Canis lupus familiaris: one gene and its partner. The protein of the gene in region 1 interacts with the protein of each later gene in a biochemical or structural test. Links are inferred from orthologs where the notes say so. Each region holds a gene or a part of one and is shown on either strand. Other genes may lie near its edges.

What was found. The genes of interacting proteins can lie anywhere in the genome.
Region 2: the proteins of KLKB1 (region 1) and KNG1 form a complex in vitro, tested with the Homo sapiens proteins (4 studies listed by BioGRID). The link is inferred for Canis lupus familiaris from reciprocal best matches to the Homo sapiens genes KLKB1 and KNG1.

Annotation. Positions count from the first base shown.
Region 1 is NC_049237.1:45,418,186-45,422,952, forward strand, and holds the end of KLKB1 (plasma kallikrein), read right to left. Parts: intron 3,827-4,767; coding exon 3,731-3,826; intron 1,672-3,730; coding exon 1,532-1,671; intron 1,018-1,531; coding exon 835-1,017; 3' UTR 775-834; downstream 1-774. UniProt on the Homo sapiens protein: Participates in the surface-dependent activation of blood coagulation. Activates, in a reciprocal reaction, coagulation factor XII/F12 after binding to negatively charged surfaces.
Region 2 is NC_049255.1:19,457,997-19,463,328, forward strand, and holds the start of KNG1 (kininogen-1), read left to right. Parts: upstream 1-2,206; 5' UTR 2,207-2,434; coding exon 2,435-2,629; intron 2,630-5,332. Other genes in the region: HRG (histidine-rich glycoprotein), read left to right, coding at 1-52. UniProt on the Homo sapiens protein: Kininogens are inhibitors of thiol proteases.

The DNA of each region.
Region 1 (4,767 bases):
TTACAAGACTGAATTTTTGCAATACTTTAGAACCAATGCTTCTTGAATTACTACTGCAGAACCCAGTATGCACTGGCACCCCCTCCTGCACCCCACAGAGCAGACTCCTTGCCCTCCGTGAAGGCTGTGTGGTGTGCCTATGGCAGGAGCTGCAGCCCCGCAGACCTCTCCTGCACACCCAGCCAGGGGCCTTGTGCCAACGCCAGCTAACAAGGTAGGAGGCCAACATCAAAAGGTGCACCACTATTCTCCAAGGTTCAGAAAACACATCTCTTTCTTGGAAAAGTTAATATTCTACAGTTGGCAGAACAAGACCCAAGCTTACTGGCTCTTTGCCCCAAGTGAGGCAGGCAGTGGTAGGTTTTGATGACCATGCAGGCGACGAAAAGAGAAGAGATTACTGTCCCTAAGATATATATCGAGATCCAGAGGAGGCAGTCAGAGAAGAGCGAGGCCAGCACAAGCACGGTGCTAGAATCTGGAGTTACTTACCTTTCATTCTGTCTCACAATCAGAAGAACACACTTTTGAGTCACATTCTTTTGCCATTTTATTTTGCAACAAATAATTGCGGAAATGTTCACTTGTTATCTTCCATTATTAGCATTTTTACTGGAGGCTGACAGCCTGCCTCTGCACAACATTTTCCTCAGCAGCTTTGTGTGCACTGTCTCCTTTTACCCTTATGACAAGGACATGAAGCAGATACTATTCTCCACAATTTTGCAGACGAAGACTCCAAGGCTTAGCATTTGAGCTGGACCCAGGTTGTAAAATTCATGCTACAACCCGGGCTCTTTCCCATCTCTAGAAAGCTTCTTCGCACTGGTGACTTCATCCAAGACCGGCGTGCCCATCACCAACCTGTGTTTTCTCTAAAATCCAGTCCACATACTCAGCCACTTTGGTGTAGACACCTGGTTGTTCTCTGCGGCCACAGCCTTCACCCCAACTGGTGATGCCCACCAAATGCCAGTTTCCGTTGTGTTTACAAACTAAGGGACCACCTGAATCTCCCTGTGTCACAGTGAGTGGAAAAATGAAATAATACAAAGTATGACAGTTGTGCCTTTAAAATTCTGTAGTCACACCACACACAACACGTACATACAGTTCCTTATAGTTCTTTGGGTATCTTGCCTTCCTCATTCCTCTGGATGTGACGAAAATAAGTGAATTCAATACGTATGGTTGCATTTTCTATTTATTCCAAAAAGGACATGTTGATATCAGAATCTCAATGTCAAGTAAATCTAATGCTCTAATATTTTAGTACAGCTATTTTATGTACCATGGTGCTCCCTTATATATAGTATGCCTCTGCACAGATTATAATAGAATAAACATTTACACACACACACACACACATATATATTCAGTTCATCAAAGGTTACTTTTGAAATTGTCAGATTATTTGGCTCCAATTTTTTAAAGAAAAATACAATGAAATGTACTATGGAGAATATATTTTGTAGTTGATTTTTCTCAAGTAGACTACTGTGTGTTTTTTTTTCATCACTGAGTGTATTACCTTGCAGGCATCTTTCCCTCCTTCTTTATAGCCAGCACAGATCATCTGTTTGTTTACTTCATAATCTCTATATTTTTTCTGGCATTCTTCATTTGGTACCAAAGGAATATTTGCCTTTTGTAGGCTATTTTGGATTTCCCCTGTGAGGTAATCAATATAAAACTTCAGAAGGAGGAAATACGATGAGTCTGAAACTACTAATGTCTTAAAGCAAATCAGTGTTATGAACCTTTCATTTAGGTAATTTCTTTAGGTAAAAATAGTAAAGGGTGAAAAAGTAGAGTTAATCACACCAACAGAGAGACACACAGAGAGAAAAGCAAAAAGAAATTGATAAACAGAGAGCTCCATGTACTGGCCTCTGATGTCAATGTTAGGACAACCCCAGCACCCCAAGGCTGACCAGATTCCCTGCCAACCTCTCATCCCAATAGAAATCTCTCAGAAATTCCCTCTTATCACCTCCAACCCCAAAGCTGGAAATTCTTATCTTTCAGTTTTTGTTTTATATATTCAACATGATCATTTAAAAACATGTGATGTTGGGGGGGGAACTCACCATATGCTCAGAAGAGTATTTTGTTTTTTAACTATGCAAATATTTTCCACGAAGAACGATTTATTCACAAATAATTACATTTCTGCCCGTGTCCAGGTTCCCCTGGAACATATGTTGGGAGCTCTCCTTTCTTAGTTAAGGTTACTCTTAAAATTTCTTTCTGCCTTAAGGTACCAGTCAAACATTTAGAAAATTTGAATTCACTGAATAAAGGACTAAGTCAGGAAAGAAGGAAAGATCTTGATGAGCTTAAATATGTAAAGAATGTGCAAATTTTATTCCTATAGTGTCTATCAAGAACAAAACTTTGGAAAGCGAGAAAAGTCTGTTTCATGGGAAATCCAAGGACAATTTAAAAACACCAACTACCCGTGAGCAGGGCTTCTTAAACTGGCGTCCACAGAAAGAATTCACTTGCTCTATACACTTGGATAGGAAAATACATCCTTATTTTCACCAATCTCCAACTGAAGTCTAACACTACCTTCAGCTATGAGTGCAGGCAATAAAAATGGGAGTGTTAGTAGGATGGCTTTGCCATTAGTCAAGAGCACAGATATTTTTCATCACACTTGTGATAGTTTCATGTGACAGCTGTGGCTGATATTATGGTAGTTACTTGAAAAACTTACTATTTAATATATTAAAGAAACTCATGCATTCCCGTATTGCATCTTTTTGAAAGTATTTTGATAACTCTATTGCAATTTCACTTGTTTCCTTCATATGTCTATATGTGCTTTTTAAGTATTTAAAAGCACCACGGCAGGGGTGCCTGGGTGGCTCAATGGTTGAGGGTCTGCCTTTGGCTCAGGTCATGATCCTGAAGTCCTGAGATCGAGTCCCACATGGGGTTCCCCGTGGGGAGCCTGCTTCTCCCTCTGCCTATGTATCTGCCTCTCTCTATGTGTCTCTTATGAATAAATAAATAAAATCTTTTAAAAAATAAAAAAATAAAAGCACCATTACAAAAGTGGCTCATAGGCTTCATCAGATTACAGGAAGGATGCATGAAACAACAATAACAACACAAAAAACATTTAGAGCCTTCCAGAAAAAGATGGTGTGCCTGCCTCTACTCCTGACCCTTAGTATAAAGGCAAAATAATGGCACTGAGAGATGGAAACACTATTAGTAGTGAGGACAGGATAGGCTTGAGTGGTCTTATTAGCCCCATATGGGACAAATCCTTTATCCCATAGTCAAACAAGTGAACTTTATTATTAAGTAAGATTCTTAAGAGGTTACCTCATAAATTTTTCCAGATCCAAAGAAAAATACATCTTCTCAAGAATCAGTGAGTAAATATTTGAGAATGAATAGATTGGAATGGTGATGAGTTTGGATAAAATTTCAGACAGAGGCCAGTTAAACTGATTCACTCTGTGTACCTTAAGGTAAAAGACTTGTTTTAAGAACAACATTTAAAATATCATGCTGGGGGCGCCTGGGTGGCTCAGCAGTTGAGCATCTGCCTTAGGCTCGGGGAATGATCCTGGATTCCTGGGATCGAATTCCCACATGGGGCTCTCGGCATGCAGCCCGCTTCTCCCTCTGCCTGTGTCTCTGCCTCTCTCTCTCTCTGTGTGTCTCTCATGAATAAATAAATAAAATCTTAAAAAAATATATCATGCTGTACCTCTTTCTTTTGTGAAGCCCCATCCAGTTACCCAGCAATTAGTATAAGTTGTATTTGTATCATCTTTGGAAGGGAGGCATATTGGTTTTTGGAATTCTGAAAGGTAATTTTTAGATTAGAGTTTGATTAAACAAAGTTATAGGTATTGACTGTAAAAATACACAACTTCCTTTTTCCATATTCTCTTTCTCTAGCGTACTACCATGAAAAAATGACCCTTTTGCTTTCTATTTGATTGCTAAGGCCAATGATTCAAGAAAATTTCTCATTATCAGACTCATTTTCACATGACATTTTTGGTGCCAAATTTTCTCAATTAAATCTTAAACTCAGAACATGTATTTCTGTCAAAAGCATTTAGAAGTATTTTACTCTGTGTATGTTACTTTCTTTTTTTTTTTTTAATTTATTTTTTTATTGGTGTTCAATTTACTAACATACAGAATAACACCCAGTGCCCGTCACCCATTCACTCCCACCCCCCGCCCTCCTCCCCTTCTACCACCCCTAGTTCGTTTCCCAGAGTTAGCAGTCTTTACGTTCTGTCTCCCTTTCTGATACTTTCAATAGTAATAACAGTGTCTCCACTGTTTGAAGCACTATTTTACGTGCTTTAACTTACTAATTAGCAATTTTTATGACACACCAACAGGTGACTATCATGCTCATTTTACAGATGCAGAAATTCGAGGTACAAAGAGGTAAAAGCAACTTGACCAAGGTCACGTAATCATTCCTGGACACAGAGGGTATTCACCAACTGTGGAGCATTGTGCCACGGAGGCCACACTTCCCACCACCACACTACCAGCTTCCCAGAGCTTCCTTCCACTCAAGTTAGACCTGGGAATTAGCATCTGGCCCTACTAGTCTTCATATATTCCTAACATGCCCAAAGCCACAGTCATCGTGCTACTCTTGCCAAAGGGAGCCATGCTTCCTAAACAGCCAAGACATTTCCCATGTGTATTATTTCAATAATGCATATGCACCTGGATTCCTACCTGAAGAGACCAATTTCTACTTCTTATCCCTTA
Region 2 (5,332 bases), on another chromosome or scaffold:
GAATGACTTTTCAAATATCTCAAAATTTTTTGCATACTCACTTCCAAAATAAAAATTGATTTTCTCGATGGGGAAAAATTAATGTTCTGACTTAGAGCCATAAATAAAATACAACCAATAATAAATGCAAAATTCAAGTATTTTTACCTTATTTTTATATTCAGAGTAAGCAAACGTGGGTGGGGGAGGAGATGGCATGAGAAGAGAGAGACGAATGGAGAGGAAATATGTCAGTGCTGCAAGTCAGTGACAGATCACTAAATCCTTGCCGCAGATCTCTGACCCTCTTTCTTTCATGGATTTAACTCTAATTCTAGAGTCTTTCCTCACTGAGTACTTTCACTGTAGCTGGGCATACCAAGAAGGCATGTTTTAGCAGTCAAAGGACTATTCTTCTAACACAAAATTCAAATTCTCGGGATCCCTGGGTGGCTCAGTGGTTGAGTGCCTGCCTTTGGCTCAGGGTGTGATCCTAGAGTCCCCGGATCGAGTCCCAGGTTGGGCTCCCTGCATGGAGCCTGCTTCTCCCTCTGCCTGTCTCTCTCTCTCTCTCTCTGTGTGTCTCTCATGAATAAATAAATAAATAAAATCTTTTAAAAAAATATTCAAATTCTCTCTTATTATTTCTAGATCTCTAAATTTCCTTTTGAAAAAAAAAATAAGTTCCAAATTCAATTATGAGGCAATAAAGGCTTGGGCTATGAATTGCAAGGAATACCGCAGGTATGAATCGTGATGATAATTTCAGGTGCACAAGAAATATCACTCTATTTTCAGAAAAAAAAAATTAGTTTCCATTTCAGGTTGCCATCCTAGTAGGTTAATAGGAGACTTAACCTCAGTCCTTGGAGCTCCCTCACCTGCTACTCCCCGTGAAAAGTTGTGCCACCATTCTAGAATTTCATGTCGTGCCAAGTGTTTGGGTGGTGGGCATGAAGGGGAGGTCTGACTCTTCATCACTGGTCCACTAGCTCTCTCCTGCTGGGAGATGCTTACAACCCCATGCACATCCTTCTTTGGGTCTAGTTTATCAGCTACTCCTGAGTCACAGTGAAGCTATCAGAGCCTCTGCAAGGCCACTAATGAACATGTCTGCCCTGGCTATTCTCTCCGTGAGATCTTGCTGCCTTCCCGGCTACGTGGCCAGAAAGCAGGGTAGAGGTGTTCTCTGCTTGAGGCCTCCCAGAGACCTCTGCTCTTCTCAGATCTTCCCTCCAGGCTAAGGGGTAACTTCTCTTTATTCAGTTTTTGTGCCAAATGTCTTTTTCCACCATTAAATGCTCTTTCTTTTCCCTTTTTCCCAAATCAGGGCTCAAGCATTTAGACAAGGGCTAATAAGACTTTGGGCTCACTACCTGACTTACCGAAGCAGTTGCAGGTACATAGTGATGGCAGAAAGTAGAAGTGTGTGTTTGTGTGTGTGTGTGTGTGTGTGTGTGTGTGTGTATCCGGGCCAGGGGATGGGGGCAGTAGATAGGGGGAGAAAGCAAAGGCCAAGAAAGATATGGGTAAATTGTTAGGCTGGAGAAAAAGAGGGGCCCCCAAAGAGACAGAAGCTAAAGCTGGGAGAGAAGGAAATGTGTAGCAGTGTGCAGTACAGGAGGAGCTAGAATCAGAACTTGGGGTTTATCAGAAAGGCTCCTTAGGCTTGGTGAGTAGACATCCAAATCCATCACATCAGAAACAAGAAGCAAGGATGGGGGACACTGGGCTTCACTCAAATCATCTCTTCTTATGCTTCTCTCCTGTCTCCTTCTCCCTGGGGAGCATTTTCTTTTCTAAAATCAATACAATTGAGTGGAGAGAGGCTGACTTGACCAGAGACCATATAGGATGCCCATATTTTAACTTTAGTTGCACCAGTGTCCTGGTGTGGGACTCCTACCATGCACTATGTCCCTGTGCGTGGGCTCCGCAGGCATGCCATGCAATTGGTAGCAGCCCGTTTTTTCTGCAGCTAGATATCTTGCAAAGAAATGATTGAAAGGTATCTGTACGTTGTACTCATTGTTGTCCCATGTAGTGACCTTCATAAAGGGCTTTGGGAAAGTCACTTGGGAAAGGGAATAACAGGTGATTGCTGGTTTTTCCTCCTCCTTTATTAGTTTCTGTTCTGATTTGTTATACAGCATTGTGCAATCACCTGGAAATGTGCCCTGTGCTCCCACGTGCTTCTTGAATGCAAACAAGCAGGTCAACAACCCTGGTGTTGTAATGTCTCCACCTGAAATCTGCTTGGATAACCCAACAGAGCCTTTGGAAATAGGGCAAATAGTGTATGGCAGCAGGAACCCACCAGGATCCGGAGCACTGAGGCAGAGAGATAAGAGTACAGAGGAGATAAAGGGCTGGAAATTGCTAAAATCAGCATTCAAGTTGGCACCAGATTCTTGGTGAAACCCTTCCTCAGCTCCTGGAAGGAGACCGCTAAACCATGAAACTACTTGCTATGCTTTTTCTTTGCTCCAGGCTGCTACCAAGTTTAACCCAGGAGTCCCTCTCAGAAGAAATCGACTGCAATGATGAGGATCTATTTAAGGCTGTGGACACTGCGCTAAAGAAATATAACAGTAGAAACCAAAGTGGCAACCAGTTTGTGTTGTACCGTGTAACAGAAGGCACCAGGACGGTGAGTGAGCTGTGTTTTACCCTGAGACCATTCGAGATACGTGCTGTCAGGCGGAGCCCAGTCCCCCTCGCCCCCCTCAGCAATCACCAAAGAACTGAGAAGCAAAGGTAGAAGCTTATAGTGCATAGAAAAGATCAACACCACTCTTTGCCCCAGGGGTGCGGGGCAGGGTATGATTAGACCTTGGGCGACCAAGCTCGGCTTCCTGGGTGATCAGAAAAGCAAGGTACAGTGAAACAAAGGTAGATGGGGTCATTTGAAAGAAACTATGCAGAGTAGGAGAATCAAGGAACTCAACTGGACCGCAGCAAAAGGACTTACTGGGTGACCAGCGGTAGACCACAATATGAAGACCTCTAGACTTCAGAGGGGAGGGGCTGCTCACGTCGAAGAAATACTATATGATCATGTTTACATATGGAATCTAAAAAAGCCCAACTCACCCAAGCAGAAAGTAGAATGGGGTTGCCAGGGGCTCAGGCTGGGGGAAATGGAGGACGCTGGTCAAAGTATACAAACTTCGAGTTATAAGATGAGTAGGTCCTGGGGATCTAATATATGGCATGGTGACTAGAGTTAATTATACTGTCTGTGTGGCTGAATGCATCAAGAGTAACAGCGATGTTCTAGATGGCTTTTAATATTTTTTATAACTAATTGATGCACTCATGTTGGAGACAAATCCTGACAGTGTGTGATTTCAAAAAATACGAATCTTACAGTAGTTTGTTTAAATGAATTTCACTCTAAAATTCTGTGCCTATGATAGTTGGTAGCTGTTACTTTGGCAGAGGAGAAATGTCCAGTCATTTGATATGATCAGGGTAAAGGAAAAAGCCCACTGAATATAATTTTTTTTTCCTGAAAGTAAAATTGAGCCATTCTGTTTCACAAACTAGTGCAATGATGTAGACATTTGGTCCTGGTCCTTTCAAGTAACAGTTGATTGATGGTCTCTTTATTGGCTGACATCCATGACAAATGTAGTTTTTTGTTCTAAAACATCCATAGAATTACGCTTTACCTTTGCTTTGCCATACGGGCACCATCTATACCTCCACTGCCTAGTTCTTGAACAAAATCTGAGACCTGGAAGAAACTTGGGAGATTATCTTGATGATCATCCCAGATACAAATAATGTGATGCAAGTAGGCTCTGAGAGTCAGGAGACTTGGGATACGGGGCCAGCTCTGCCTTTCCAAAATGCGGGGGGCTGCCTCAGCCCTGCCCATCTACTCAGGGCCTCCTTTCTCTCAACTACAAAGTGAAGGAAGGGCTAGACGTCTTCACCTCTCTGGTCCCTTGCTGTTTGACATGTCAGGATTTTATATCTGGAAGGCTCACCTAACTTACCACCTTTGCACTTTTTTTTTTTTTTTTTTTGGAAAAAAGTATAGTTGTAGTTGACACAGAGTATTACAGGTTATAGTTCAGGTATACAACACAGAAATTTGACAAGTCTATATATTATGCTGTGCTCACAAGTGTAGCTACCATCTGTCACCATACAACACTACTACAGTTATCATTGACTCTATTCCCTGTGCTATGCCTCTCAATCCCATGACTTGCTCATTCCATACCTGGAGGCCTGTATCTCCCATGCCCCTTCACCCATTTTACTCATCCCCCCACCCTCCTCTGCGCTGGCAACTATAGTTTTTTCTCTGTATTTAGGAGTCTGTTTCTGCTTTTTGTTTGTTTATTTATCTCATTTTTTTAGATTCCACATATAAGTGAAATGATATTGTATTTGTCTTTCCCTGTCTGGTTTATTTTCCTTAGCATAATACCCTCTAAGTCCATCCATGTTGTCATAAATGGCAAGATCTCATTCTTTTGTATGGCTATGTAATATCCCATTATACATACCATATGTGTGTGTGTGTGTATAGATAGATAGATAGATATAGATATAGATATGTGTGTATGTGGATATATATGTGTGTGTGTGTATGGATATATATATATGTGTGTGGACATATATATGTGTGTGTATATGGATATATATATGTGTGTGTAGATATATATGTGTGTGTGTGTGTGTGTGGATATATATATGTGTGTGTGTATATATATGTGTATGTGTTGTGCATATATATGTGTGTGTGTGTTATATATATATATATATATATATATATATATATATATATATGTATAACCCTGGCTATATCAAACTGCACAAGATCCGGGTATCCCAGAACATCTCTAAGACGATCGCTACATCGCAGAACCGTATCTATCTCACTGCTGACAACCTCATCTTGAACCTACAGGATGAAAGTTATATATACATATATATAAATGTATATATATATATATATATATATATATATATATATATATATATATCTTCTTTATCCATCCATCTATTGATGGATGTTGGAGTTGCTTCCATATCTTGGCTATTGTAAATAATGCTGCAATAAACATATGGATGCATATATCTTTTCACATTACGTTTTTGTTCTCTTTGGGCAAATACCCAATAGTAGATTGCTGGATCATATGGTATTTCTATTTTTAATTTTTAAAAGATTTTAAAAGAGAGAGAGGGCACAAGCAGGGGAAGCTCCAGGGGGAGAGGGAGAAGCATGCTCTCCATTGAGCGAGGAGCCCCGACATGGGGCTCAATCCCAGGATCCCTGGACCTTGACCCAAGCCATAAGCAGACACTTAACCTACTGAGCCACCCAGGCACC